Linked DNA regions of Callithrix jacchus. The protein of the gene in region 4 interacts with the protein of the main gene of each other region in a biochemical or structural test. Links are inferred from orthologs where the notes say so. Each region holds a gene or a part of one and is shown on either strand. Other genes may lie near its edges. The genes, in order: ERBB3, SOS1, FASLG, NCK1 and LCP2.

Region 1 (5,550 bases), on a different chromosome or scaffold from region 4:
ACTTTGAAATTGGGGGCAGTGATGGTAGAGAGAGCTCCAGATGCACTGACCATAGCTCCAGACGTCACTCTGGTGTGTGTATTTCCCAAAGTGGATACTTTCAAGGGCCATCCACTTAATTGGAGTCTGTGGATTCAAGATAGAGATATCACGTTTATTTCCACAAATTTTTTTGAGACAAGCATTTCCAAGTCTCAAGTTCTTTTTTTTTTTTAAAGACTAGTCAAGTGCAGTAGTGAGAAGGGGGGAAAGAGTAGAATAAGGAGTTCGATCTGTAACTGACTGTGAACAATCAGTTGAGATAACTCACTACCTTCGGACTAGCCTTTATTTTTATTTTTTTATTTTTATTTTTGAGATGGAGTTTCGCTGTTGTTACCCAGACTGGAGTGCAATGGCACGATCTCGGCTCACGGCAACCTCCGCCTTCTGGGTTCAAGCAATTCTCCTGTCTCAGCCTCCCAAGTAGCTGGGACTACAGGTGCGCACCACCATGCCCAGCTAATTTTTGTATTTTTAGTAGAGACGGGGTTTCACCTTGTTGACCAGATGGTCTCGATCTCTTGACCTCGTGATCCACCCGCCTCGGCCTCCCAAAGTGCTGGGATTATAGGCATGAGCCACCGCGCCCGGCCTATTTTTTATTTTTTTGAGATGGAGTCTTGCTCTGTCACCCAAGCTGGAGTGCAGTGGCAGTAGTGTGATCTCAGCTCATTGCCACTTCCACCTCCTGGGTTCAAGAGATTTTCCTGCCTCAGCCTCTGGAGTAGCTGGGCACTCCACCATGCCCAGGCACATGCCACCATGCCCAACTAATTTTTGTATTTTTAGTAGAGACAGAGTTTCACCATGTTCATCAGGCTGGTCTCGAACTCCTGACCTCGTAATCCACCCACCTCAGCCTCCCAAAGTGCTGGGATTATAGGTGTGAGCCACCGTTCCCGGCTAAGTCCCAAGTTCTTTTTTTTTTCCTGCTAGGCATCTTTCATGTTACCATGTTGGTTTTTTCCAACCAAATTCTTGATCATTCTTTTCTTTGTTGCTCTCTGAACTAAGATATCTGGCCATCTGCAGCCTCCTCTCTTTGAACTTACCATGAAGCATCTGCTTGCCTCTGGAAGAGACCACTGACTGCTCTCTATCCCCATGCTTCACTCCACCCCCACCACCTTACCCAGCCCTTTGTGTCACCTCACCTTGGCCTCACTGTATAGTAGCTGCTTATCATCAGGAGGCAGCAGGTCAGCCACACCAAAATCTGCCACCTGAACCTGACTGGGTGACTTGAGTAGCACATTTCGGGCAGCGAGGTTTCTATGCACCATACCATGTTCCTCAAGGTAGTACATACCCTGTAGATACAGGGGAAGAAAATATTCTTAAAGTTGGGGGAATCAGTCACTGAGATCTGGAATTCCCCCAAATCTTCCAGGTACCTCTCAGCAGTAGTCCCCAACCTTTTTGGCACCAGGGACCAGTATTGTGGAAGACAGTTTTCCTGGTAGAAGGGGAGGGTTGGTTTTGGGATGAAACTGTTCCATCTCGGATTATCAGGCATGAGTTAGATTCTCATAAGGAGTGCACAACCTAGCTCCTTCACATGCACAGTTCGCAATAGAGGTCACTCACGCTCCTATGAGAATCTAATCCTGCCGCTGATCTGACAGGAGGTAGAGCTCAGGCGGTAATACAAGTGAGGGGGACTGGCTGTAAATACAGATGAAGTTTCACTCACTCGCCTACCGCTCATCTGCTATGTGGCCCAGTTCTTAACAGGCCATGGACCAGTACCAGCCTGTAGCCGGGGGTTGGGGACCCTGCCTCTCAGAACTTCAACCTTCCCACTTTTTCCTGGCCTGCCCCCAGCTGAGCAGTTCTTATCATAGAACTCCTCCAGGCTCCTTTCACCTTGGCAATTTGTACTCCCCAGTTGAGCAGCAGCTGTGGCCCCAGTGCTTCCCGGTGTTGTCTCACATGATCCAATAGAGAACCCAGAGGCAAGTATTGAGTGACAAGCTGCAGAGATGACCCTGGGCATAGTCCTAGCAGCCGTACGATGTGGGCATGGTCCAGGCTGCCAATGGCCAGCATATGCTAAGAGACACAAAAGGTGTTATCCAGGAAACCAGCAGGTTCACATACACTCAGCATGTGCACAGCCAGCCCAGGGGACCCCCAACATTCAAGTGCATCAACGTGGCTAACACAGTAGCTGCTGAGAAGCACAGGACCATGCTTCTACATAATTATATCTAATATTATCCTCTCTCCTAGCGACATGAAGAATACCCTTCACTTACATCTGTCACAGCTTGAAAACTCTGCCGTCCACTCTTGTCCTCAATTACTTTAATGCAGACTGGAATCTTGATTGACTCACCCTCAGGGATCCACACTCCCTGGGAAGTTTGGGATAGGAGTCAGCATAGGGTCATTCTCCCTTGGTCAGTCCTTTGGAAAAATCTTTCACCCCTTTGCCCTAGATGCTTTCCCCACCTCACCAGAATTCCTATAGGACTCACTTTGTGCACAGTTCCAAAGACACCCGAGCCAAGCACTTTAAGCTTCCTCAGCTCTGTCTCTTTGAAGATTCTGGCCAAGACTTTGTTAGCCTTCTCACTGGGGTCCAGAGGCTCTATGCTCTAAGGAGCAAATGGAAAGGAGGTACTCAGGAAAGACCATTCCCATGTCCCACTCCAACCCGCTCTCCAGAGGTCAATGCCAAAAGTAGCGAGCCAAAAGGGCAGGAAGAGAAATCATCGTTAGTCCTGGAAAACATTATAAGCATATTGAGGAATAACAGACCTTGAAGATTGAGGAATTTATTTGTGCTCATGAGATCGGGAATCAAAGGGGTTGGGTTTTCCCTTTGACGGGGGACCAAGAAGTGGGGTAAAGGGACAGCTAGGGAGAGCTGGTAATACTATTACCACCTTGACTACCTTTTATACAGTGCTCTGTGTTTTCCAAAGCACTTTTACATCATCTCTCTTTACGCTTACAGCCTTCCTGGAAGGATGAATGTTATTTCCTCCTTATAGATGCATAAACTAAGGCACAGAGAAGAGAAGTAACTTCTTCAAAGTCATGTGGCAAATTAATGGCAAAATCGGGACTAGAATGCATGCCTCCCACTTCTCTGACCAGTGTTTTTTCTAGGGGATCACACTACCTCCTTGAAGAAAGGGATCAAATCCCTGAGGAAAGATGAGGGGAGTGACATTGATCCCATCACTGACCACTGGGTACACAAGGTACCACTAAAAATTAAGCTATAAAGAGATTTCAAGGGCATGCAAAAAAAGAAAAGAAAAAACAAAAGTAAACTAAGTACTCACCTCACCCCGTTCCAAGTATCGCCTCATAGCCCTTTTATTCTGAATCCGGCGCCCACGCCAGTAGAGAAAAGTGCCACCCAGGAACATGAAAATCATTACCAATCCTGCTATCACTGTCAGAGCCATTGTCAGGTGGGTTTTGCTATGGGATATATAGAAACCCAACATTATTCTGGGTTTTCATCTTCCTTACAAATGTCAACTATACTTGCGCTGAAGGTATCTGGCAGATCTGGGGCAAGAAATTAGCATTCACATATATATCCTTAAGCACTGAAGGGACCAACCTAAATCAGGACCACTCTTTGACTACTGCAGTTAACTTTAGGAAGGGAAGTCCAGAAGCCTGCATTCCAGTGATAGTGGACCGCGTACATTCAAGGCCAGAATGAAGACACCCTCGCTCTTCTCTCCAGGTAACCACCTCTCTCCCAACTTCCCAAATATCCCCAGTTTCCAGAATCTCCAAACCCATCCTACCCGATCAGCACCAGTGTTTGTCCTCGACAGTCTTGAAGCTCTGGTCCTTTACACCTAGGGAAGGAAGTCACCACCTTAAATGAGAGCTTGGACAACAGAGGCTCAATTTCAACAGCCTCGGCCGGGCACAATGGCTGAAGCCTGTAATCCCAGCACTTTGGGAGGCCGAGGCGGGTGGATCACGAGGTCAAGAGATGGAGACCATCCTGGTCAACATGGTGAAACCCCGACTCTACTAAAAATACAAAAAATTAGCTGGGCATGGTGGCACATGCCTGTAATCCCAGCTACTCAGGATGCTGAGACAGGAGAATTGCCTGAACCCAGGAGGCAGAGGTTGCAGTGAGCCGAGATCGCGCCATTGCACTCCAGCCTGGGTAACAAGAGGGAAACTCCATCTCAAAAAAAAAAAAATTTCAACAGCCTCAACATACAAAACTTACTTCAGAACTTATCATGGCATCCCATCCTAGAGTCCAAAGCTGATCCCAAGACATGGCCTCTACCTCCAGCTCACTAGCTCTCCCCAAGCCCCTCTTGAGTAAAACTCCCTTGAATTGTGGTTATTCCAGGTTCCCAAAACTGTGGTGCAATTTTGTGCTGTTACTGATTTTCCCTTTCTTCAGTCCTTCAGTACACAGCTGGGAGTGATTCTTAAATCACAGCGTCTCTCTTCTTTCTGCTTCCCTCACCCTATTTCTGTGCTCCTACCCTTCCACCTGACCCCTTCTTATCATCCCATCACTGACCCCTGGGTGCAGTTCTCATGGCAAGGCCGACATTCATTCTGAACATCTGGGTACTTGTAGATGGGGCCTTTGGCACCTAGGACTCCATGGGGGCAGCTACTCACACAGTGGGGCCCATCTCGAAAATGGGCACATTGAACACAAGTATCAGAGCCCTGAGTGGAAGAGAGAAGGTCAGGATGAATCAGATCCAAGGTCAATTCCATACCTCCCAGCAAAGACCAGCCCAGACATTCCGAATCTTCTATCTGCAGACCCTAGCATTATCTGTTCTCTCTGTGCTCTCCTTAGTCATATCATTCCCCACATGCTCCAAGTATTGCCCCTTCTCTGTCTCCCTTGGAGATCCTGGTGCTGCTACTATACCGAGCCATTGCATGTGGCAGTTCCCTCCATGGGCTGGCATTCCGGGTGGCAAGAGAAGCATTCGGACTCATGGGCAAACTCTCGGGGCTCCCTGCATCGGGGAATAAAGGGAGGGGGGTCACTTCCAAGTCCTGACCTTCATGCCCTGATACCACAACCACAGGTCTCCTCTCTCACTCCCACCAAGGCATATGCAGAAAGCTTTCTAAAGGCTTTTATTATATGCTACCTGAATAGTTCCATTGCAGGGTCTCACCCCCACCCATCTTTGACTGGCTCCCATCACTGTACCCATTCAGAAAGTTGCAGTGGGTTACACAGACACCTCCTCGGCTGTAGTTTCGACAGGACAAGCACTGACCAGGGCCCGGGCCCCAGCATCCCCCAGAGGAGCACTGTGGGTCACACACTTTGCCCTCTGCCACTGGAAAAGAAAGGATAGATTAGGAGAGAAGTCTGAGGACTCCCAGCCGGCCCTCTCCTCATTACTCTTTCTTGTTACTGCTTCCATCTTAACATCCCCCTTCTCCTTGATTCCATCCCTCAACCCTACTCCCACGTGTGGGCAGATGAATCCTTCCAGCCCTCTCCTCCCTGACTCCCTGTTCTCACCACCC
Region 2 (5,550 bases), on a different chromosome or scaffold from region 4:
ACCAAATGTTTATTGACTTTAAAAAAAAAAAGTTTATGATGACTATAAAAGGAAAAACCCTATATCACTTTTGAGCTTGTTTAAATATCCAGAGTGCTAGTTATTTTGTGATGAGAATATACACCCCAAGAACATTTTTGAAAGACATATAATTAGTAACTCTTTTATTTTTCTTTTTATATACAATAAATTTACTTGTTTTAAAAGTTTGAATTTTCAAAATAATATTTAGTAAATAGCAGATTTATATACATCCAGCTGAACTTTTTGCTTGAATTGGGTTTCTACATTTTAAAAAGTATTTCAGTAATATAGGATATTTTAGTGTTTTCATGAATGTTTTTCATTTAATTATTATGAGATCAAGTAAATCTAAAAGGAACCTTTTAAATTCCCAATATGATACCAGTTTTTTCTTCTCAAAAGTAATAATGAGATTTTACTATAAACGATTACAGCATTCTTTAAAACTAGAATGACAATAACATTTTCATCATAAATACAAATTTTTGCAGATAAGTTGAATATATCAATGAAAGAAGAAAATCTATTTTTTCTTGTTTCCTTTCACAGGCAATGATACCGTCTTTATCCAAGTCACACTGCCCTATGGCCCAAGTTAGTATATTTGGCTTAAGACTCATAAATCTTGCTTTGGCTTTAAAAATCAAACCAAGTATAACCTGTCCTGCTAAAACTCTTCTTGGGTCTGGCAGCATTGGTACCTTGCTTGCAACGTCCTAGAAGTGAGGCCTTCACTTGTGCTATCTTTTGATCATAAATGATTTGCTTAAATTTATGTATTTTTCATGCTTTTTACAAAACCTCGTTTCTGTCTTAAAAGAACATATTAAATAAGTGGCTTCCACATTTAACCATTTCTTTTTTACAACTGTAGAGTTCTAAATATATTTTAATGCTCAACTTTGGGAAAAAAAAAAAAAAAAGCAAGAGCATGCATGCGCGTATGGGAATGCTGGCAGCTACATGCAGTTTCTAAATCACAAAATATACTTAGCCTGATAGTAGGATAGATTATAGACAACTGCTTTTAACTTTAGAATAACTTTCTTATAATTGTAATTATTCAAAGTATAGCCTAAACACTGATAAACAAAATAAAGCTCCATTTTAATTTTAAGGTAAACTAACAATTCACTAAATTTCATTATATTAATTATTTTAAGCTAATTAATATTTTTTACTGTCCTTTCATACAAGTAATTTTAAAATGTGTACAGTGGAAAATACTAGTTACAAGCTGAATTAACTGTATATTCTCAAGGGAAAAGGTAGGTGATCAAAATGTTGATCATTTTAATAATATCAGTACACAAAGTACTCTTTTTAAGATCTATATTGTTATAACATATAATTGACAAAAAGCTTAATGCTTAAAGGGAAAAAAACTGCCAAGTATAATTTTGAATGATGGTTTAAGTATTTTTTTCATGTCTTTTTTTATAGTGTGTATAAACTAACAACCGTGTTGTTCTCCAAAGTGTAATTATTTATATGCCTACCTTACATTCTTGTTATCATAAATGTCTGTAAGACAGGTTCCGATTAGTAGCTTTACTTACCTTTTTTGTGCCAGTTCACCAACTTAGGTTCACTAGATTTTAGTGTAATTTCTGTTTTCATTGTCAGGGCTGCCTCAGTTGTCTTGAATTGTGCCCATCATCGGTAAAATGTTTAGATTTAAAGTATAATGAGCCTCTTTTTGCTTACAGGCAAAGGAGAGCCTATAACTAAACAAAATGAGGAGAGCCCCCTCACCTAGACACTATGATTCTTTCCCTTGCATCCTTTGAGAGAAATGCTAGGGAGAGACGTTAGAGAGAGTGGTTAAGAGCAGGATCTCTACTCCCAGGGACTATCCAGTAAGGTGGGGAAGTTCTATAAAATCTAATTAAGTCAAAGAAAAAAGTGAACGCATTGTAGAGTCTTAAAAATTACCATTCCAAATATTTTCAGTAGCTCACTGTCTCCTAGACATCTGAGAATCAGATACAATTAAAAATTCCAATAACAGATTAACAGCGGGAATGTTACTTCGTTCAGGCAAAATAACAATATCTTAGGCAGCTTTTCTCTAAATATTCTGCTAAAAAATGTCTGCATGCTTTTATGGCAGTTTGCTTTAATAAATAAAATACTATTGGGTATTGGTTTATTGAACTGCTTTTGGTACTTCTATACATTACTTTTAATTATAAGCAGATTCCAGCTAAGCCTTTTCAAGATAAATAAATAAAATTCCTGTGAACTTTTTCTTAAAAATTTAACATCCTACAGGATCTGCTTCTGTATCATCTATAAGTTTAACCAAAGGCACGGATGAAATGCCTGTCCCTCCTCCTGTTCCTCCACGAAGACGACCAGAATCTGCCCCAGCAGAATCTTCACCATCTAAGGTAAACTGGGAAACCTTCTTATGTAGAAATTGGAATCATTACAGTTACATTATAAACTGCTTATGTCTAGTTTAGTTCTCACTGGGATAAGTTAACATTTCAAAGTATATGGGCTTAATCATTTAAACAAGGATTACATATGGATTTAGCATGCAGTAATGTTTATTTCTTTTCTTCTGAAAGTAGTTTTTTGGCATGCTTTCAAAACCTTTGTAAACCTAAGGCTATGGTTATTTTCGGGAAAAAAAACAAAAGCTTTAGTCTATAAAGTAAGAAGAGTTTGGTTTCAAGCAGTTCTTTAAAACATACAGAAAGAAAATCCTGAAGCTTTGTATGAAGGCACATTATAAGTCAAACTGTATCTTGGCATATGCTAAAAGTTATTTATCTGAGCCCTTAATAGTAAATCTGACATACTTTTAAATGGAGTTTTCATGAACATTCTGGGTTTGGAAGATACTGTAAAGGCTCAAAATAGCTATTATTTCTACTTATTTAAATTTTTTTCTTTTTTGGCCAGCTGTCAACTTAATTAGTTCTTAAGCTGTCCAGAGAACAGAGCACCAGGATAAGTCAAGATATTCTTTGTAGAACTTCGTGAATGTTCATATAGTTAAAATTATAAAATAGGTAATTTATGCTAAATTAGAAACGCTCTTAGATTGAGTGAAAAGCTAAGCAAGCAGTAGCAAACCAAAAAAATTGTGAGGAAGGAAAAACATTAAAGTAAAAAGTTCGGCAAAAAAAATTTTTTCTATGAATTGGCAGAACCTCCCATATGAAACATATGCCAGCCTTGGCAGCATAGCAAGACCGTGACCCTACAAAAAATGCCAGGCATGGTGGTGCATGCCAGTGGTTCTTGCTTCTTGGGATGCTGAGGTGGGGGGATCACCTGAGCCCAGGAGGTCAAGCCTACAGTGAGCCATGATTACACCACTGCACTCCAGTTTGGGCAACAGAGCAAGGCCCTGTTGCCCCCTCAAAAAAATTTTTTAATTAAAAAGAAAACATACGGCAAAATTACCTGTTCCACATTTAGCATCCTTCCAATAGCATGTTTGAAAACCACAACTTAATTCTTAATATAGTCATGATACTTCATAAATTTATTAATAAATGTGTATTTTATTCTTTTTTTCATTTGTTAGATTATGTCTAAGCATTTGGACAGCCCCCCAGCCATTCCTCCTAGGCAACCCACATCAAAAGCCTATTCACCACGGTATTCAATATCAGACCGGACTTCTATATCAGATCCTCCTGAAAGCCCTCCCTTATTACCACCACGAGAACCTGTGAGGACACCTGATGTTTTCTCAAGCTCACCACTACATCTCCAACCTCCCCCTTTGGGCAAAAAAAGTGATCATGGCAATGCCTTCTTCCCAAATAGCCCCTCCCCCTTTACACCACCTCCTCCTCAAACACCTTCTCCTCACGGCACAAGAAGGCATCTGCCATCACCACCATTGACACAAGAAGTGGACCTTCATTCCATTGCTGGGCCGCCTGTTCCTCCACGACAAAGCACTTCTCAACACATCCCTAAACTCCCTCCAAAAACTTACAAAAGGGAGCACACACACCCATCCATGCACAGAGATGGACCACCACTGTTGGAGAATGCCCATTCTTCCTGAGTTCCTCTGTACTGGGATGTATATTTTCCTAGCCCCAAATCCATTGCTGGCAATGGATGCACTGAATGTGCCAGCACTGAGGAGTTAAAATGAGAACTCCAAACACTAACGACTTTTCTTCAAGATGCAGTATAAGACAATGAATTTTAACCTAGATGTAATTATAAAGTGAAAATGGTATTCCAGTTTAGAATATGGAACGACTGACCTAGAGGAATTGGACAACTGATTGCACCTGAAAATCAAGTAAAGGGACTTTTTCTGGCCAATAGGCTGGAGTCCCCTTTTTGTGAAATGATCTTTATCATAAGGGATGGAAAACATAGTCTGGTGTCCAGCAGGCCCACCTGATGACCGTTTTTGTAATTCAAATTATGCACTTTTAAAAAAAACTTAAACAGGGATCTTAATATCTTCCTTTGTTTTCCTTTGCTTTACTCTTCTACTTTAGAATATTTTCTTAAAAATCACTCAAAGGACTGTGAGGAAAGGCTGTGGTACCTGACCTTGTTGAAATCAAGGCCCAGCACTGTACTACAGTCCTGTTTACAGATTATTACAGTGAACTGAATGGGTACCGAGGCTTCACCAAAGAGGTACTTTTTTTGTTGTTGTTGTTGTTGTTTTAGGAATAATTATATCAATTTTAAGAGCATTCCCCCTCACCTGTCCCCACACACCCAAACAAAATGTGGTGGTGTTGCCTTCAAAAAAGAGAAGTTTTGTGTCATTAACATGACAGAAGAACTTTAAAAAACAAAACCATCAAGTATTCTATTTGCATTTAGAAGACTGTTAATCTATGCTAGATTGTCATTTTCCCTCCTTCTCCCACAAAAGTTTACTGGTAATCGATGTCATGGCTCATATCTATCCCTCTAACCATACCATGGAAATGCAGGCACCCAATGTGAAAAGGAGCACTTGCTGGGCATCACTGACACTGTTCATGTTTTACTAATAGTTGAGTAATCAGCATATCTAGAATTATCTTGCATTACCTAAATCATATGTATATAGTGAATGTTATATAATATACCTGGCAGGTCTGTTTTAATTTAATTGAATAAAGATACAAATACTTTGTTTGGCTGGCATATATTAAATTATTATATGAAGAAAATGGTTGATTCTTTTTTCTTTTAGTTGAAAAACACACAAAAACACTAAACATAAAAGCACGTATTGTGGTACGCCTTGGTTTCTAGTTCTGGATATATGTCTTAATCCTAAAGAATGATCTAAAGTCACAGTTTGGCATATAGAAAGATATTTGGTTAGAATAGGATGGGTATCTTTTAAGCAGAACTTTGTAAGTTGTAAGTTCCTAAGCAACATGTATACAGTTAAGGTTTATGTGGAACATTCTACCTTGCTTGAGGTTTTCTGCTTTATCAAATCTATTCATAATAGAACATCTACCTGCATCATTACTATCATAATATGATTATTCATAAAGTGTGTGTACTATTCTTCTGAGTCTAACATAT
Region 3 (6,140 bases), on a different chromosome or scaffold from region 4:
GTCTTGCTAGTCTCATCCCTTGCCCTGTTTAAGAGTGGCGAGTGGGATGTGAGCAGGAGTGCCTGGCAAGGAGGCAGTGGGAGCTGATGCTAAAGAGCCTTGGGTAATGCTTAAGGAGCTTGCACTACTCCTGGTATCAGACCTTTCAACACAAGGCAGGGAAGTGAGATCGTTAGGTTTGCTTTTTAAAACGTCTTTCTCGTAGCATTTTACTGGGTGATTCGGGCTTGGGAAAAATTGGTGGCAGGTCACCTGTTAGGGCATCACTGCAGTATTTCAGGTGAGAGATAATAAAAATCTGACCCTGGGCAATAGCAGTAAGAAAAATGGGAATGGCAAGGGTGGGGCAGGGGGAACCTTATATTGAGGGGAGGGTAAGGAACAGGTCTCAGGTAAAAGCAACAATCCTGGGTGACCAGTTAAATGTTGGGGGAGAGGAAAAGAGAGGAGATGAAGTTGTCTCCAGAAAGAGTGGCCTCAGGAGAAACAGGTTGTGGGGGGATGGGGTTGGGCTGGCGTGGGCAGAATCCATCGGGGAAATAGTACCTTTGGTATTGGTTTGGTACAGGTGAGTGGGCCTGAATGATAGCCACAGAAATCCCAAAGCATGATATAAAAACTAATGAAATTTGAAAAGTAATAAACCTGAAAAAGAAAATGACAAAGTGGGATTTACAGGGCATTTGTATGGCTTATATTGGAGAATAATTAGGACTGAAGCTAACTACTTGGAAGTTATTGGCATATAAATGGTATTTGAGGCCAGAGGAGAAAGGGTGAGGTGAGTCCAAGGAGAGAGGCCTGCTTTAAATGAAACAAAACAAAGAAATAGGGCACAGAGTTAAATTTGAATGTCAGATTATACAATAAATAATTGTTTAGTATATTCCATGTGTGGACACGTTTAAGACATACTTGCCCTAAAAATTATGTATTATTTATCTGAAATTCAAATTTAATTGGTCACCATGTGTTTAATCTGGCAACCATAACAGTGGCTGCACAAGAAATGTCAGCAGAGACCAGGCAGGCCTTTCAGATGGTGAGGTGATGTGTAAGACACAGGGGCGTGGTGGAGGCTGGGTGACCCAGAACACCTGTCCTTCATTCTCAGGGGTAGCTGCTACCCATGGCCTTGAGGGTGTCCGACATTCTGATGTTTCAAAAGAGAATAGAAATATTTTTTTAATGTGTATTTAAAAATATATAATATTTTTAGTATCAATATTTAAAGTGGTCAGTTGGGCTGGCTGAGTGCAGTTGCTCATGTCTGTAATCCCAGCACTTTGGGAGACTGAAGCGGGAGGATCTCTAGAAGTCAGGAGGCTGAGACCAGCCTGGGCACCATAGCAAGTCCCCATCTCTACAAAAAAATAGAATAAATTAGTCAGGTGTAGTGACCTATGCCTATAATCCCAGATACTTGGGAGTCGAGGCAAGAGGACTGCTTGAGCCCAGGATTTTGAGGCTGCAGTGAACTATGGTAGCACCACTGCACTCCAGGCTGGGTGGCAGAGTGAGACTCTGTCTCTCTTTAAATAAATAAATAAATAAAGTGGGCAACCAATGAAAAGAAAAACATGTGAAATACAAAGCAGCTCTGTGGGTTCCACTGGTTTGCAGCCTCTGAGCTAATTTCTAAAGTGGGTGTAGCAGGTTTTTACTCTGTAAATTATGGTGATTTGCTGGTCAGGGTAGATGATACTTGTGTGTGGGGAAGGGATGATGGCAACAGATGTTTTCCTTTTGCAAAAAGTAAAATGTGGGAGTGACTTCTTTGGCCATGACTTCATGGTCTTTCACCTCAGAGCCATTTGCAGTAAAATTTATGGATTTAAAAATATGATTCTGAACAATTTTTGTTAGAGTTATTTTGGGATTTTAAAATAGTTTTTTGGTTGTATGTATTGTAGAATTCTTAAAATTATATAATGATAATTTATAAAAATGCATACGATTATAATTCATAAAATTATATCTCCACTGGCCATTCTCCTGTAGCTGGGAGAAGTTGACACCAACAGGGCTACATCCCAGTGCTGACCTGCTCTGCAGGACCCAAGGAAGGGGAGCACAGCCTACCAGCCTTTTTGGGTAGCCCAGCGACAGCACCTAGGGCTTCAAAGGCCTTCATAAGAAAATTGTGGGCGGAAACTTCCAAGGGGTTTGCTCTGAGCTTCTTGAGACTTCTCAGTTTCAGATGCAAAGTGAGTGGGCGTTTCTCTGAGAAGCAGAATGAGAGAGAGGTGTTTCCCTTAGCTATGGAAACTCTATAAGAGAGATCTAGCTTCCTTTCTCTTGAGCAGTCAGCAACAGGAGTCCTGTCCTTGACGCCTCAGCCTCTACAGGATTAGGAAGAAATAAGACCATTTGCTGGGGCTGGCTGGAGTCACCGGCTGCCATGCAGCAGCCCTTCAATTACCCATATCCCCAGATCTACTGGGTGGACAGCAGTGCCAGCTCTCCCTGGGCCCCTCCAGGCACAGTGCTTCCCTGTCCAACCTCTGTGCCCAGAAGGCCTGGCCAAAGGAGACCACCGCCGCCGCCACCACCGCCGCCACTACCACCTCCACCACCGCCACCATTGCCTCCATTACCACTGCCACCCCTGAAGAAGGGAGGGACCCACAGCACAGGCCTGTGTCTCCTTGTGATGTTTTTCATGGTTCTGGTTGCCTTGGTAGGATTGGGACTGGGGATGTTTCAGCTCTTCCACCTTCAGAAGGAGCTGGCAGAACTCCGAGAGGTAAGCCTGCTGGTGGACTGCCGTGCCCTGGAGGCACCTGGCATAAGGGGGTGCAGGGCCCACTGCCTGGCTTGCCAAGTGCTTTTCAGTTCTTTTTTTTTTCCTTAGAAATGGGTTGTTCTAGTTATTCTATTCTATAGGCAGAGAAATGGAGGTTCACATGAGTGAGGGGAATATTTTTTGTTTCGTAAAGCATCAGAGCCCAACAGTTTTCTTTTCCTCATGTGTCAACTCAGTCTGTTGAACCACTTCCTGCCTCATACCTAGTGATTCAAGGAGTAACAAACAAACCAAACTTTTAAGTTTTGCTTGGAAGTAAATTTGTTCAGATGACCAAACTGAATCTTGAAAGTACTTAAAATATTGATATGATTCCAAATCACAAAACTGGGGGACAGTGAGGCAAAATTGCTTGGACAAAGCCTGAGTTAACAAAAGTTCTGAGGTATTTGGATTCTTTTTCCAGGGCTTGGTTTATTTGACAATTCTGCCTCTTTTGCTTAAAGAGTTTTATTTTTTTTATACATCTTTTCTCTTTCTCTTTTACTAGTCTGCCAGCCAGAGGCATGCAGTATCGTCTGTGGAGAAGCAAATAGGTGAGTCCTTTTTTTGTGGGTACAATGAGTTCCCAAAGATGATCCTCAGCACTGAACTATGTTAATGGAATGCCTTATATTCTGTCCTACACTTTGGCTTATGTATGCTATGAGAGGAGTTCTGGCTGATTCTGAATTTCTGGTCAATATGATTCCTCGAGCTGCTTTAAAAATGTGAAGTCAATTGAATTGCTCACAATCAGTATAGCTGAGCACAGCACACAATTCAAAATCACTTTCACTTGACTTTGGAGACACACATACACAACTTGGACCTTTGCCCCCTGAGGAAGGTCTGTCGCATTCCACAGGCATCTTGGTTGTGGCACACATGCCAGTGGCTTTGACTCCTGGGAAGAGAAGGCGAGGTGAAGGCAGAGATAGATGTTTCTCAGAAACGTCCTCTCCTCTTTTAAACTCTCTAAAGAGATTACAGTGAAGCTTAATTTATAAACTATTTTATAGGATGTATGCTTTTAATGAGGATAATCAATTGCCCACAATAGGATGGTTTTTCTTGAAGTCACTGAGTAGCTTAGGGGAAGACTTCAGCCATCATTCAAAGGACATTCAGCTTCACCCACAGAGACGGTCATGAGGTACCCTTGATCACAAAGGAAAACCCTTTGTATGGGAGCTAGGACAAGAAGATGACATGTTGAACACTGATCTCATGAAATGTCAGGGCATAGTTTTGCAAGCTCTGTACAGATAGATTTTACGGCACACTTCACTAGTCTAAGGTTCACTGAAATTTCAGATTTAGATTTACAATGCGATTCATTGAATTTTTAGAGTTGGAAGGAAGCTTAGAATATATCTAGTCCAGTCATTCTGTCTTTTGGAAGAGAAACAAAATACCAGACAGATTAGGTGAACACGCCCAAGAACACTGGTCTGGAACTGGGGCTGGAAGGAACACGGGCTCTTGATGCCTTGTCACCTACAGGGCTTTCCAGCACATGGACTGGTGCCTCATCAAGTAGGGAAACTCCTGACTGTAGTGACCATGGAATGAGAAATAGATGAAAAGCAGAATACCTCTGCAAAGAGAATAGGTAAATCTCATCCTTAGAAACTCAGAAGCAAGCAGAAGGCAGCACTGGCCAAGAAGTGGAGCAAGTTCCCATTTCTCTGGATGTGGCTACTGCAGGCAACCCAGTCGCCTGTCTGCTATCCCAGATTGTTAGGTTCTTGTAGGAGCCACTGTTGGATGCTCTGGCTCCTGTGTCTGTGTCCTAATCCTTATATGTTAGAACTTCCACATGTACACAAGCAGAGTGGAAATATTTGTTAAAAAAATAAAGCCTCTGGAGGATGTCTTAAATAAGATCATTTTGAAAATCTGTGGAATGTGCCTGGTCTGATAGGTACCTAATTATTCATATTTCACCCACTCTTGAGTCAGTTTAGTGATTAAAAGTCAAATGATCAGATGAGTCAGGTCTATCTGCCTGGTAAGCAATTATCTTCTCTAGATGGACCAGAAATTGGTAAATTATCACATGGCTAATAAGAAAAGAGATTCAAATTAATATAATGCAAATTAAAAATAGGAAATATCAAGTTTTCATCAAATTGGTAAAAATTAAAAAAAAGCACAAATTGACAAAGATTTGAGAGAAAAGAGCCTGTTCAAACATTTGTTTCAGCCAGTGTACATGTAAATTGCTATAGCTTTCTCTGAAGAGCACTTTGGATATACAATCAAAAGCTTGGAACTAATAGTTTACGTTGTAATCCCATAGCTAAGAATTTATCTTAAGAAAATAATCAGAGATGTGCCTGTGCCTGAAGATTTACATATAAGGATATTCATTACTTCCTTATGAGCCTATTTATAATAAACAATTCAGAAGAAACTTGAATGCCTCATACTAGGTTAGTCATATACATTATGATGTATTCAGACAAGTGCTTAATAAGCAGCAACTAAAAACATATCAGAAGGACGTTTAATGCCTTGGAGATTGTACACTCTATTGTTAGATAAAAAGACAAGTTACAAAAGAGTATGTTTAGTTTCATACTGACTATGTAAGCATGTATGCACATATTTATATTCTTAGAAAGGAACTAGAAAGTTTTCTATACTGATGTACTCACAGTGATTTTCTCTGAGAGATACTATTATAGATTATTTACACTCTTTAATTGCCTCCTTTTTATATTTTCCATTTTTTTTCCGTTAACTAATTAAATATCTTATTCATTCACATCTGTGAGGCTAGATGTTGGGTGCTGGATGCTGACTGAGGGTGAGTGAGCCCAGGGGGCCTGTCCTTATGGAGCTTTTAGCATGGTGAAGAAGCTAAAAAAAAGCAAGCAAAAAGACCATGCAATTTCAAAGTTACTCAGTGCAACCTAAGATGGAATGGCCTGGAGAACCCTCTCTAAGGAGGTGTTGTTTATGCTGACACCCGTGGAGGTCAGAAGCCGCAGAGTGAAGGGCTGTGTGCATGTACTGTGGAGTGTGGTGGGGCTGGGAGAGAGCATTTCAGTGCTGGGAATGGCACGTGCAAAAAACCTGGGGCAGGAAGCACTCATCACCAGTGTCTAGGATATATCTGCAGTTTATTTATTCCAGTATTTGTATAGCAGCTATTCTTAGTGAGCGTCTTCTATGAGAATAACATTGTACTAGGCTCTGTGAGGGATATAAAGACATGTGGTTCTCTCTTCCATTTCCTGCCGGTGCATGGCTGAATGCCAGATTAGTTGCTCAGATGGTTTGTGGTGTAGGAATGCAGAGGAAACTCAGTTTTGCCTTTCCTGTTCACTAACACCGCCTTTGTGGT
Region 4 (6,319 bases):
AAATATGCAGTTATTTAAACCCTTAGAATAAACTCAAAATTCACCTCCATTATTCACTTTGGATGCAAATAATAGAATATAGACAAAAAGTAGCTGTTGCCCAGTTTCACGGTCTACTTGTCCCAGCCAACCTGAGCATAAACAGGTAAATCTGTGCCTGACTTGCGATCCTACATATGGCAGACTGTCTTAGTCCCTTTAGTGTTGCTAGAATGGAAGACCCAAAGCTGGATAATTTATAAAAAAGATTTATTTGGCTTATGGTTCTGTCTGGAAAAGTTCAAGACTGAGCATCTGCATCTAATGGGGACCTGAGACTGCTTCCACTCATGGCAGAAGGCAAAGGAGAGCTGGTCTATACAGAGATTACATGGCCAGAGAGGAAACACGAGAAGAAAGGAAGTACCAGGTTCTTTTTAACCAGCTCTGGCAGAAATAAAGATAACGCACTTACCCCCTCCCCAGGGAGGACATTAATTTATTCATGAAAGAACCACCTCTATGACCCAACACTTCCCATTAGGCCCTACCTCCAACACGGGGGATCAAATTTCAACAGGAAATTTAGGGGGACAAACATCTAAATTATAGCACAGGCCAACCACATGCATGCATTACTACTTAAGCAAATAATTTTGAAGTTAAATGCAGAAAACTGCAAACTTTTGAGGCTGATAGCTAGGGCCAGGATTAAAGTAAAAAGTATTAATGCCTTAAACAAAATTTACTGACCATCTACCATGTGCAAGGCCCTAGGGAGAAACTGAACAGACACGGTTCCTGATTCAATGGAGTTTACAATCCACGTAGGGATACAGACAAACCATTTCAATAGCTCGGATGGAGAAAATACCTGTGCTCAAGGATACCTAACTCGGCAAGCTTCCCTGAGGAGCGACCCTAAACTGAACCACAAAGATGGTTAAGAAGAAATGAGGCAGCAGGGTGTGGTGGCTCATGCCTGTAATCTCAGTACTCTGGGAGGCCGAGACAGGCGGATGAGAAGGTCAAGAGATGGAAATCATTCTGACCAACATGGTGAAACCCCGTCTCTAATAAAAATACAAAAATTAGCCGGGCGTGGTGACGCGTGCCTGTAGACCCAGCTACTAGGGAGGCTGAGGGAGAGAATCGCTTGAAACCAGAAAGCGGAGGTTGCAGTGAGTCGAGATCGCGCCACTGCTCTCCAACCTGGCGACAGAGCGAGACCCCGTCTAAAAAAAAAAAAGGTTACTACGGTTTGCAGCACACTTACTGATGCTTCAGCCAGTGGCTGGAAACCTTATAACAGGCAGACCTAGCTCCGAAGATCCTCTTCATAACACTACTGTCGCCAAGACTGGAAGCTGCCCAAGCACGAGGGTCCTTTTAGAGGGACCTCAGACTCAGTTTATTTTGGTCTGTGCCTCAAATTAAACACAAGTCGGCCTGGCGCCGTGGCTCACGCCTGTAATCCCAGCACTTTGGGAAGACGAGGCAGGCGGATCACGAGGTCAGGCGATCAAGAGCATCTCAGCCATGGTGAAATCCCGTCTCTGCTAAAACACAAAAAATTAGCCGGGCGTGGTGGAGGCGCGCGCCTGTAGTCCCAGCTACTCAGGAGGCTGAGGCGGGGAATCGCTTGAACCCGGGAGACGGAGGTTGCAGTGAGCCGAGATCACGCCACTGCACTCCAGTCTGGGCGACAGAGCAAGACTCTGTTTCAAAAAAAAAAAAAAAAAAAAAGCCACATGTCTTACATTTCTCCCAGGTCCCAATTTTCAGGTCTTTTTATTTGTTTTTCTTTGTCCCTCCCTGCTCCTAAGCACCTTCGGCTGGGAAGACATTCTTCAGGTGCAGAAACCAGGGGGAGGCTCCCTGAACAGTGGGGGTTAGCTCAGGACGCTGTCATTTTTGCTGTAGAGTCTCTCCTGCAGCGCTGGGGCGGAAGGCTCAAAGTAACCACCCAGAGCAACCGCAGAGGGAAAACCGAAGACAGTCGTGGTCTGGCCTACCGCTTCTCACCCTCTCGCTGTCTTCTTTCCGCCGCGCAGCCTCAGCTCTTTCCACAGTACGAACGGCGCTTGATTGACAAGTGGGCCCGCCCAATCCCAGTGCGGCACAGACCACTGTCGCGTCAAGGACCGGGAAAGGGGGCGACTGAACCTATCAGATTGGGTCGGGAGTGGGTTTCCTGCCCGCGCGGATCCGCCTGCCCACCGCGCGTGCCCCGCCCCTCTCCCGAGAGCTACGCGGCGGTAGAGCGCAGGCCTCGTGCCGTTACGGTCATCACGGCGACCGCGGCGGCGTCCCGGTGCCTTCCTCAGGTGAGCTGGAGCTAGCCGGCACGGAAGACGGAGGGTGAGATGGCCTTGCTGGGAGGCCGACACACACACACCCCCTCCTTCAGTCGGCTGTCCGTCCTCACAGCCTGTTACTCGCTGCGTCGCTTCCTCTTCCCCCGCTGAGTTAGCCCCGGGGGCGCCGTCTGCAGGCTCGGAGCTGAGCCGGAGGGGATGCGGAGGCTGCTCGGCGGGGCCCGGACGTCTGCACTGGGATTCCGCGAGACCCTTGGGGCTCTGCCCCAGGGAGCGCGAACCCGTGGCCTCCTTGTCAGCCCCTGGAGCGCTGCGTCGGGGTTAGAGCCCGGGCGACCGCCCCTGCGAGGCTGGGAGGTCGAGTGTGCGGCTCGCTCGCCGGCTTGTCTATTTTCTACTGAAAAAGTCCTGTTGCCAGCTGTGGCGTAATCCAAGACCGGGAAGGTAGGGACGTGGTAGAAGGGAGGGCGCTCTCACCTCCAGCCCGAGAGGAGGAGGGGGCGGCAGCCTGCGCGGTGCTGAGGGTGGACATATTCGGGACGCGCCCTCGCCCCTCCCCCTACCCGCCGGCGGTTTTCTGGTCCGGGGCTTTGACTTTAAACGTCTGGACCTGCTTCACATTCGTACGCGAGTTGCTGGGGGTGTAAACTTTTGACTTGAGTTGTAATATGTTTGGTAAAAAAATTATCTCGATAGTTTTGTAACATTTCTTGTATGTTAACGTATAAGTTAAATTTGCCGTTAGAAGCTCAGGAAGCTGGATTTGTTCAGGGCTGAGGACGTAACGGTAGGAAGGCTCTCGGTGTCAAATCGATGGATCTGGAGTCAACTGAAAATAATTCTACACGTTATATTAGGTAAGAAGCCTTAGGAATTGTGAAAGAATGAGGTTAAGAAGAATTTCCAACTCCTTTTTGGGAGGGGAGCAAAGCAGCTCAATGCCCCAAAACGGGTAAGTGTTGCCAAGAGGTCCTCATTTTTTTTTGGTTGTTGCTGATTTTTTTTTTTTTTTTTTTTTTTTTTGAGACAGAGTCTTGCTCTGTCGCCAGGCTGGGGTGCAGTAGCGCGATCTCGGCTCACTTGCAACCTCCGCCTCCCGAATTCAAGCGATTCTCCTGCCTCAGCCTCCCGAGTAGCCGTGCTACCGTCGCGGGCCATTACCACCCCCAGCTAATTTTTGTATTTTTAATAGAGACGGGGTTTCACCGTGTTGGCCAGATGATTTCCATCTTCTGACCTCGTGATCCGCCTGGCTCGGCCTCCCAAAATGCTGGGATTACAGGTGTGAGCCACCGTGCCCAGCCAAAGTACTCATTTTAAAAATCTTTCTTGGATAGACTTACGGCAAACCAACAATAATGATTTCTTCAGCACCTGGAAAGCGCTATGTCTAAACTCTCAGCCTTCAGCGAGGTCACACAGTAAATGGGGAAATAACCCAATAAGAAAGTTTTGTTTGTTTGGTAATTGTCAACGTTTGTTCTTTTCTTTTTTTAAAACACTTTATTTTCTTGTGGGGATGGAGTCAGTGATGTTCTTAAATAGGCATTCCATTCACAACTTGATAGTAATATGCACTGGTTAATAAATGGTACTTTCTTTTCATCTTGACCACAAGCTCTGAGGCTTTCTTCTTTGGGAAAATTATGGTCTGTGGGAATTGGCTCTAATATCCATAAAGATAGATTGCAGAGTGTTCAGATCTACTAGCTGTTGGTTCATGTATTAAATTTTTAAATGTGTACTTATTTTTCTAGGCATTATCTTTTGTCCAGGTTTCTGTAGTGCTTTCAGGTCCATGTAAATAAAACTTGAAACCTACCTGTAATGTTTTGTTAGTTACTGAATGAGACCAGGCGAGGTAGTTCAAGCCTGTAATCCCAGCACTTTGGGAGACCAAGGCGGGAGGATAGCTGGAGTCCAGGAGTTTGAGATCAGCCTGGGCGATATAGTGAGACTCTGTCTTTAAATTAGAAAATTAAAAAAAAAATTTAAAAAGGAAAATAAAAAGAAAAGTGATATTAAGTGATGCTTTGTGTTTCTTGGTTTCTTTGAGATGGAGAAACATAAAGACTTGCTCTGTTGCCCAGGCTGGAGTGCAGTGGCATGATCTTGGCTCATTGCAACCTCTGCCTCCTGGATTCAAGCGATTCCTATGCTCAGCCTCCCCAGTAGCTGGGACTACAGGTGTGTGCCACCACACCCAGCTAATTTTTTTTTTGTATTTTTAGTAGAGACGGGGTTTCACTATGTTGGCCAGGCTGATCTTGAACTTTTGACCTCAAATGGTCCGCCCACCTGGGCCTCCCAAAGTGCTGGGATTACAGGCGTGAGCCACCGTGCCTGGCTGAGTTTCTTTTTCTTTTGGATCTCTGAGGACTTTCCTTTCAAAGCTGAAGGTATGTTTGATGTGATTATTACAAATCACTTGTCAGGAAGAATTGACGTAATGAATACAGGTGCAGTTCATTTTTAAAATTATGGTTTAATAATTTTTAGAATTTACCTTTATAATATGGAAAAATACCATACATTCTTTATCTGTACTGGAAAATTAAATGATTATTTCATTGATAAGTAAAATTGAAGGGAACTCTTGAAATCACTGAGCATTTAACAAATTCTCTGTAAATACCTTGATGTTAAGAAGACCACAGGGCTAAATATGACATTTAAAGATTAAGACAACAGTTATGTCTGGCTGATCCTCACCTGAAACTGTAACAAAGAGAACTAGTCTTCCCTTCAAAACTGATGCTGACTTGGTTTTGTTGACATTACCACGTTTTCAATTACCCAGATACAAACTTTGGTTTTATCTCCTAGCTTGTTAACAATATTGGACGATTTTTGCCAGCCATTTTTATCTTTGAACTACTCACTAGCCTTTAATTGGGTTTTCTGCTTGGCTTTTCTCTCTACTTAGTGTGTCCTGCCTAAATCTTAGAATAATGCTTCAAACACATCCTTCATTTTTCAGAAATCAGTGATAGCTCCCAGTTATCTTCAGAGTATAGTTCAGAATTCATGCCTTCTAACAGTCTGCTCAAACCTATTATTCTGGTGCCAGCACTTTCTTTTTTTTCTTTAATCGGTGCCAGCACTATTTCTTTTTAGGAACTATCCACTCTAACCAAACCAATCTGTAGTTCTTATTTACCCTTTGTATTTTTCTACCTTCATATTAAGTTCTTTTTCTTTTTGTGTGGAGTCTCACTCTGTTGCCCAGGCTGGAATGCAGTGGCACCATCATGGCTTACTACAACCTCTGCCTCTTGGGTTCAAGTGATTCTCCTGTGTCAGCCTTCTGAGTAGCTGGGATTACGGGTGCGGGCCTCCATGCCCAGCTAATTTTGTATTTTTCGTAGAGATGGGGGTTTCTCCATGTTGGCCAGGCTGGTCTTGAACTCCTGACTTCAGATGATCCACAGGCCTCAGCCTCCCAAAATGCTGGGATTATAGGCGTGAGCCACTTCATCTGGCCAGGTTGCCTAGTCTTTCAAATATTTTTCTCTTAAATTGCCAAGTAGGAAATCAAGGAAAATGTTGTGAAAGTTTCGCTTTTGGTCCTTTGGTGCAGCCTTCCAAATGTTTTTCCTGTTCGCTATGTTGTTGCTTTTCCTTTTTTTTTTGAAGACAGAGTCTTGCTTTGTTGTCCCAGCTGGAGTACATTGGCCTGATCATAGCTCCTCATTGTAACCTGAACCTCCCAAGGGCCAGGAATACAGGTATGTATCAATGCCTGGCTAATTTTTATTTTTATTTTTTTAGAGATAGGGTCTGACTTTGTTGTCAGGCTGGTTTTGAATTCCTGGCCTCAAGTGATCCTCCCATCTTGGTCTCCCAACGTGCTGGGATTATAGGGGTAAGCCACTGTACCTGGCCTGTTGCTTTCCTTTAAACCCATACCCCTTGTGGTTTTACTATTCCCTTGGTTTTTAATCTTATGTGGACTTGTATCATAGACTCAGAGCATTATTGCTGGAATGGTGGAATCCAACCTTGTGTTTTCTAGATAAGGA
Region 5 (6,257 bases), on a different chromosome or scaffold from region 4:
GCCTCATTCTCTTCTATAGCAGACTGGTTCTTAACAGTTAATTGGTAAATGGGAGTAGTTGCAGGGCAGCAGACAGATCCAGGTGTATAGCATTGCCTTTTGGGGACCCCAGATAAAAGATCTTGTCTCAGGCTTCATGTGTAACATTCCAGAGAGTGACTCTGACTGACCCAGCTTTAGTAAGATATTTATCACTAAGCGGTGTTCTGAGCAACTCCCATTGATATATCTGGGGTCACTTACAAGAAAAGAGGCAAGGCCCAGCCAAAAGGAGTTGCCAGTGCTTGAAAGAGAATGCTAGTCATGAAAACATCAGCTTCCCAACGTGGACTTCAGTCATAGCCGTGGAATAGAACATCTTAATCCTAATTGCCCTTTCCACCAGGAGACTTAAAACGAGTGTTTGCTTTATAAACATGATTCACTACCAAATAGTTGCTTTGAAATCTATCAGGTCCTTCATTTTACATATTTTTGAACCCTAAGAATAGAATACAGTGAAGCAAGATAAGTGAGCTTACTCCATGCTAGAACCTATGGTGTATGCTATCCTGACTACCTTGCACCTAGCTCACTTGTTTAACACAGAAAAGCCACTAAGTAAATACTTGCTGAATAGCCTGTTCTATAGACATGTAAGTGAATGCAGGGTTTTCAACCTTAGAACTCCCAAGTTTTGGACCTAAACTGAGAACTTCTGGTTAAGGATGAGATTTTGGGAAACACAATTTTTATTATTACTTAAAAGTCTCTACATTCCATATACTCCTTATCTTAGCCTATCATCAGTTTTAAACTGGTGACTTCTTAGATTCCTTCTAATATTCTTTTTATTGGTTCATGAAGATGAAGATGCAAGATATTCTTTTCCATTCTGAAAACTTGTAGATTAAGCAGAAATGCCAAAAATTGTTGCTAATAAAAGTTGTTCAATAATAACCAAGGTCCCAAAGGGAAAAATTTGAAAAAACTGATTGTCACTGTTTGGCTGAATACTAGTTTTTAATCTGGCTGAATGCCTATACGTTTTGTTAAGTGAGATTTGTAAACTAAAGGAAAGAGCTGAATTACTTCAAAGCACTTATACAGCCTGTTTGGAAAGGATGAGGAGAAAGGGCTTTATGGCAGAGCTGTCAGGGGGATGATAAGAGATTGAACAGCCATACCGAATAGGAAAGTCTGAACAAATTTAAAGTTGCTCCCTTGTCTTCCCAGGAAGTCTTTGGTAAAATCTATATCCCTGGACAATGTTTTTGGGGTTGGGAGAAGGTGGGGGTGTGTGTGATGTTGGTGTGGGTGTGGGGATGTGAAGAAATGCCAACTTAACCCCAGATGTGTTAATTAAACCTAGAACCACAATCCACCAAAGTCTCATCCCTAAATTAAAAATGTTTTCTTTTGCTATTTGTAGTTTACATTTTTTAAGACAAAAATATAACAGTATGGACTAAAAGTCAATAAAGTTGTTTTAGGAAACCAAAAAGTTAAAGCAAAAGACTATTTTAATCTCAGAAGTTATCTCAACGTGCATTTATCTTTTCATAAAAAATTACATAAAAATTCCCCCAGGAAAAAATACCAAATAAGGAAGAATAAAATTGTATTTTTGAAGGCTCTTAAATTATTGCTGCTGAGAAAATGAGGTTTAGTCATTTTCAAATTACATGTATAGAACTAATGAATGCCTCTGACTGACAGAGGTTTGGCAACAAATCAGTTTTATGTGATGCCAATAACTATTACTGTTTCAGTGTTTTAAAACTTGCCCCAAATTGTTTCTGTAGCTGTGTAAACTACTGTATTTTGAAATGGATATTAAAAAAATTAACAACTTTTAAAAAGTGAATTATTACAGTGCATTACTAGACATGAAGTGTGAACATGACTCATGCACTTTACAAACATTGAAGAAGAATAAATAAATTATGGGAATTTGACAGTCTTCATTTCAAACACTGTTTTTAAAGGAAAGGATAATACCCCTGTGTTCATGGGGAAGGGTTAAACTCAGTCCTAAGTGTTTATCAGTTGACCAAAGCTGATTGATCTCATGTTGGCAACAGAGGCAGGAGGACGGTTCATTTGCTCAACTATAACTTGCTATGGGTATCCTGCAGCATGAGTTAATGTGCACTGGTATCTGGAACCTCGGTTTTTCCCATCAATGAGCAGAAGTGGCATTTTCCTGAAGTAGTCAATAATATCTGACACAGACAGAAAGTCCTGAAAGAGTCAAGATAGGGAGATGAGTCAGCATTGGAATGAAAAGCATGAACTTCACCCTGTTTTTTCATCTGCATAATATATCCTGCCTCTTCAAGTTATGAGGATTGTGGGAAAAATATGTAAAATGTGGCAAGTAGTTCAATGATTTCTGCTATAGAGCTTTCAAAAAAATTCCTCAAAACATCCAACAAACCATGGATAAAAGATAAAATAAGGGCTGGGCATGGTGACTCATGCCTGTAATACCAGCACTTTGGTAGGCCAAGGTGGATGGATCACCTGAGGTCAGGAGTTTGAGACTAGACTGACCAACACGGTAAAACCCTGTCTCTACTAAAAAATAAAAAAAAATCAGCTGAGTGTGGTGGCATGCACCTGTAATCCCAGCTGCTTGGGAGGCTGAGGCAGGAGAATTGCTTGAACCCAGGAGGTGGAGGTTGCTGTAAGCCAAGATGGCACCATTGTACTCCAGTCTGGGCGAGAAGAGGGAAACTCCATCTTGAAAAAAAAGATCAAATGTATATGTGTGTGTGTGTGTGTTACGTAATTTGAAATGCATATATTTTTAACTTTATATGGAGGGGTCATTTAAATAGTCATGATTACAGTATCCTTGCCGCAGGGTTGCTCTGTTTTTGGTCTTGGTTTTGGTTTCGGTTTCCGTATCTCTATTTCACCCCCAGTCATTAATATTGTTAAGAGGTATAAGGACTCAGGAGGTCAGACACAGTACACGGTGTCCAGAGGTAGGATCTGCAGCATAGCACAGGAGTTCCTTTGTGAATTCTCTGTTGTGTCCTCACTGCCACCTCCACACTCATAAGGGCTCAGCAGCCAAGTCTTTGCATCTATAGCCTGTATCACCCCAGCCTTGATTGCCAGACAGGGAAAAGCCTAATTCAACTTTCTGGATATGGGTCACAACTCACATAGGAACCCTAATGGGATAATGCACTTCCTTTAAGACTAATCTGCTAGGTGCCTCCCTCCATGACAGCTGCAATGAGTCCTCTGCACACCTGTGTGCTTCCACACTGGACCAAGATAAAGCTTGAAGGCAAATACCTCTGCTTCTACAGGGTCTGTGCAGCTCTATCCACTGCCAACCAGTGATTCAAACACTTGACCATAAGCATGCATTATTTTCTAGTCATTAACACTATCATAACAAAAGTATGTGAATCAGAAGTTATGGGTAAGCTGTTTCTCATTCTGGACATGTTTCATTCAGTTGGTCCTCCTCTTGGAACTTTGAACTTGGAGTTTCTTTGGGGCATTACCTTCAGTTGCAAAAAACTAGCCCCGAGGGTTTCTTTCTACCAGTTCTGATTACCACTCAAAAAGTGATTAGCATGAGAATCTAAACCTCAGCCTGAGAAGAATTTCTTTGGCAACCTGGTCATCTTCATGGGGCTAACCCTCCATTTTGTTAAGAAATGAGCCAAATTAATCACCACAGCAAGTATTCTGATTTTTCTCCTTTTCAAGTGGTGTCAACTTAAAATGCAGCCTACATTAAAATTATGTCACAGAGGTGAATAATAGCAGGAAATTGTCTTTGACATCTCTAAATAGATTTTTTAAAGTTAATATACGTTTTCCTGATTTTAAAAGTTATACATGTGATTATTTGGAATAAAAGACATACAGGAAGGAATCCTATGGCAGAAGTAACTATTGTAAACATTTTGGTTTATTTCTCTTCCAATAAATGAAGGACTTCACTAATGTTATTTAACTCTAAATTCGCCATACAGCCTGGAATCCCAAAGATTGCTCCATGAAAAGATGCAGAGAGGCATAAATGAAGATTTAGCAGAAATGTTGAAATTTGAAATCCTTACCTCTTTCCCTCGGAGTCCAGTTCCCAACAAGTAAACTTGACTTTCCTGTTGATAACGGATCTGGATGTTGTAAACTTTATCTTTGTACAACACCATGAGGACATATGGATTGGTTATTGTTTTTTTAGAGCTGTCTCTAACCAGAAAAGTGCCATCCTGAAAGGATAAATTCCTGTTATTATGGGAGCAGTGAAAGTCAATATTTTTGTTGCTTCTAAGAGTAGTAGACAAGCCTCTAGGGATCTGACAAACCTGTCAGTTGCAGTTTGCAGCTTCTTGACTGCAAAACCTGTCATTCAACGAACATTCGGTTCTCCAAACAGCTACAGATTCCATGTGTCACGAGTTTTTTTTTTTTGTTATCAAGAAAGGCAACAGAGATTGTAGCAGAGAAATTTCCAAGTCAATCTCGTTAAAGTCTCTTGATAAAAAAAGGAATCTTTTGTTCAATAATAAATAATGGGTGCTTGAGTGAATAAAAGGCCAGGAGAAATAACAAACTTTATTGGGTAACTCAAGATATATTTTCCTACTATTCCTAACCTTTCTTTTCCACATCCAAAGTCAGAAAACACCCAAATGCCATGAAATTCACCGTTTTTACAATCTTGTGGTCTCTAGGTAGTCTTTGCTTCAACAGACCCTTGACCAAAATTGAATGCAAATGTTCCTCTTTTCTTTTTTCTGATATTTGCTAAACTACTGTTTTGACTGTTCTGTACTTTAAATTTCCATTCAATAAATTATTACTACATAATATTAATACTATAAAAATCTAATATTAAAATAAAATTAATTAGTAAGGACTCCTTTAAACTACTCCCTTCTCATACCAAATCAGAATAGCTTTAAATAGCCACGAGTTGGCAATAACGGCTTTCCTCTGTTCCTTTTATTCCAAGTTAATTGAGCCTGTCAGAACATTTCTGCTAAACAAACACTTCTGGACCAGTGATTCAGTCTTGTCTTCAAATCAGAATGACCTGGGAAGTTTTGAAGACTCCCAGAGCTGACACAGAACTCCAGAATCATTAGAATCTCCAGGTGAGACCCAGGAATCAGGATTTTTCAAGAGCGCTCCAGGTGATTTAAATGTGCAACTACTACTGAGAACTGCTGTAGAGTTTAAATGTGAAAGATGAAGGATCTTTGCTTTCCCATTTCTGATCAATAAATTTAAGGTAAAGTTTCGGGACTGGCTAGGAGAAATATGCTTAACACCTTATGCTATTAAAAGGCTACCTAGAAATGTCTAAGACAAAGAGCAAAAAGTTGTTGCTGTTTCTTTAATATCGGTCCTGTCACATCAATGTGGATGGCACATCTGTGTTAGGAGGAAGCTAGAGCTGGTATAATGTTGAAGCTTTGGGGGAAAGAGAGTCTCCTTCTGACACCATTTAAGTCCCATGACAAGACAGACGCTTTTGTTAATAAAATCTCCTAAGATTCTGCCAACCAAATGACTGCCTTAACTTAGATTCTTCTGCCAGCTGAATGGTTCCTGAGCCCAGGAATTCCTGCTATGGTTGCTGTAGTTGTGAAGCTGGCAGTAATGGGTCTCCTAGGTATTACAGTCAGCAAAGCACCTAGAAGAATTCCCAGCCCGTAACTGTTACTCAGGACAAGTCAGTTCCCTTCTTCTGCCATGAATATGTATAACTATGTTAAAATAAACTATAGCACAATACCTGGTTTATCTTTCTAAGAGCAGCTTCTGCCTCTGGTCGGGTAATATAAGAAACGTACCACTCTTCATTTAATGAATTCTGAAAACGTAAATTTTTAGAAACGGAATAAATTTTACAGTTACATATGTAAGTGAAAAGAAAAGCCTCTGGGTAATCATTTCCATAAATCACCACCTCCATTCCAGGAGTTTGAAACATTTGTTTTCTTAATTTGCATAGAGAGTCATTTAGTTGGGGCTAAATAGAAGATGTTTTGTGTGAACTGCTTTTCATCATGACACTGGTTACAAAATACCTGTGAATAAGTGTTCCTTACAGTATGGAACCTCTAATCAGAAAAGATACAGATACAGTAATTTCTTCAGTTTAGCATAATAACCTGCTTGATTAAAAAAAAGAACTGGGTTAACGAGCAGTTAAGTGACTAATCAAGGTCATAAACTAGGAAACATAAAAAACAGGATTATTTTTCTCTCTGTTTATGCAAAACACACGTTTG

What was found.
Region 1: the proteins of NCK1 (region 4) and ERBB3 form a complex in vitro, tested with the Homo sapiens proteins (2 studies listed by BioGRID and IntAct, with this or other methods). The link is inferred for Callithrix jacchus from reciprocal best matches to the Homo sapiens genes NCK1 and ERBB3.
Region 2: the proteins of NCK1 (region 4) and SOS1 form a complex in vitro, tested with the Homo sapiens proteins (2 studies listed by BioGRID). The link is inferred for Callithrix jacchus from reciprocal best matches to the Homo sapiens genes NCK1 and SOS1.
Region 3: the proteins of NCK1 (region 4) and FASLG form a complex in vitro, tested with the Homo sapiens proteins (2 studies listed by BioGRID and IntAct, with this or other methods). The link is inferred for Callithrix jacchus from reciprocal best matches to the Homo sapiens genes NCK1 and FASLG.
Region 5: the proteins of NCK1 (region 4) and LCP2 form a complex in vitro, tested with the Homo sapiens proteins (2 studies listed by BioGRID and IntAct, with this or other methods). The link is inferred for Callithrix jacchus from reciprocal best matches to the Homo sapiens genes NCK1 and LCP2.

What each region holds. Positions count from the first base shown.
Region 1 is NC_133510.1:63,573,022-63,578,571, forward strand, and holds part of ERBB3 (receptor tyrosine-protein kinase erbB-3), read right to left. Parts: intron 5,358-5,550; coding exon 5,225-5,357; intron 5,025-5,224; coding exon 4,934-5,024; intron 4,723-4,933; coding exon 4,568-4,722; intron 3,873-4,567; coding exon 3,819-3,872; intron 3,481-3,818; coding exon 3,339-3,480; intron 2,643-3,338; coding exon 2,523-2,642; intron 2,400-2,522; coding exon 2,301-2,399; intron 2,095-2,300; coding exon 1,909-2,094; intron 1,353-1,908; coding exon 1,197-1,352; intron 127-1,196; coding exon 51-126; intron 1-50. UniProt on the Homo sapiens protein: Tyrosine-protein kinase that plays an essential role as cell surface receptor for neuregulins.
Region 2 is NC_133515.1:76,023,553-76,029,102, forward strand, and holds part of SOS1 (son of sevenless homolog 1), read left to right. Parts: intron 1-573; coding exon 574-618; intron 619-2,298; coding exon 2,299-2,417; intron 2,418-3,568; coding exon 3,569-4,060; 3' UTR 4,061-5,550.
Region 3 is NC_133519.1:30,107,640-30,113,779, reverse strand, and holds the start of FASLG (tumor necrosis factor ligand superfamily member 6), read left to right. Parts: upstream 1-2,300; 5' UTR 2,301-2,401; coding exon 2,402-2,746; intron 2,747-3,296; coding exon 3,297-3,342; intron 3,343-6,140. UniProt on the Homo sapiens protein: Cytokine that binds to TNFRSF6/FAS, a receptor that transduces the apoptotic signal into cells. Involved in cytotoxic T-cell-mediated apoptosis, natural killer cell-mediated apoptosis and in T-cell development.
Region 4 is NC_133518.1:47,381,555-47,387,873, reverse strand, and holds the start of NCK1 (SH2/SH3 adapter protein NCK1), read left to right. Parts: upstream 1-2,222; 5' UTR 2,223-2,306; exon of another isoform or gene 2,307-2,741; intron 2,742-3,049; exon of another isoform or gene 3,050-3,154; intron 3,155-4,528; exon of another isoform or gene 4,529-4,696; intron 4,697-5,933; exon of another isoform or gene 5,934-6,025; intron 6,026-6,068; 5' UTR 6,069-6,162; intron 6,163-6,319. UniProt on the Homo sapiens protein: Adapter protein which associates with tyrosine-phosphorylated growth factor receptors, such as KDR and PDGFRB, or their cellular substrates. Maintains low levels of EIF2S1 phosphorylation by promoting its dephosphorylation by PP1.
Region 5 is NC_133503.1:62,495,030-62,501,286, forward strand, and holds the end of LCP2 (lymphocyte cytosolic protein 2), read right to left. Parts: intron 5,837-6,257; coding exon 5,759-5,836; intron 4,227-5,758; coding exon 4,071-4,226; intron 2,224-4,070; coding exon 2,101-2,223; 3' UTR 1,485-2,100; downstream 1-1,484. UniProt on the Homo sapiens protein: Adapter protein primarily involved in signaling pathways within T-cells, as well as other immune cells such as platelets, mast cells, and natural killer (NK) cells.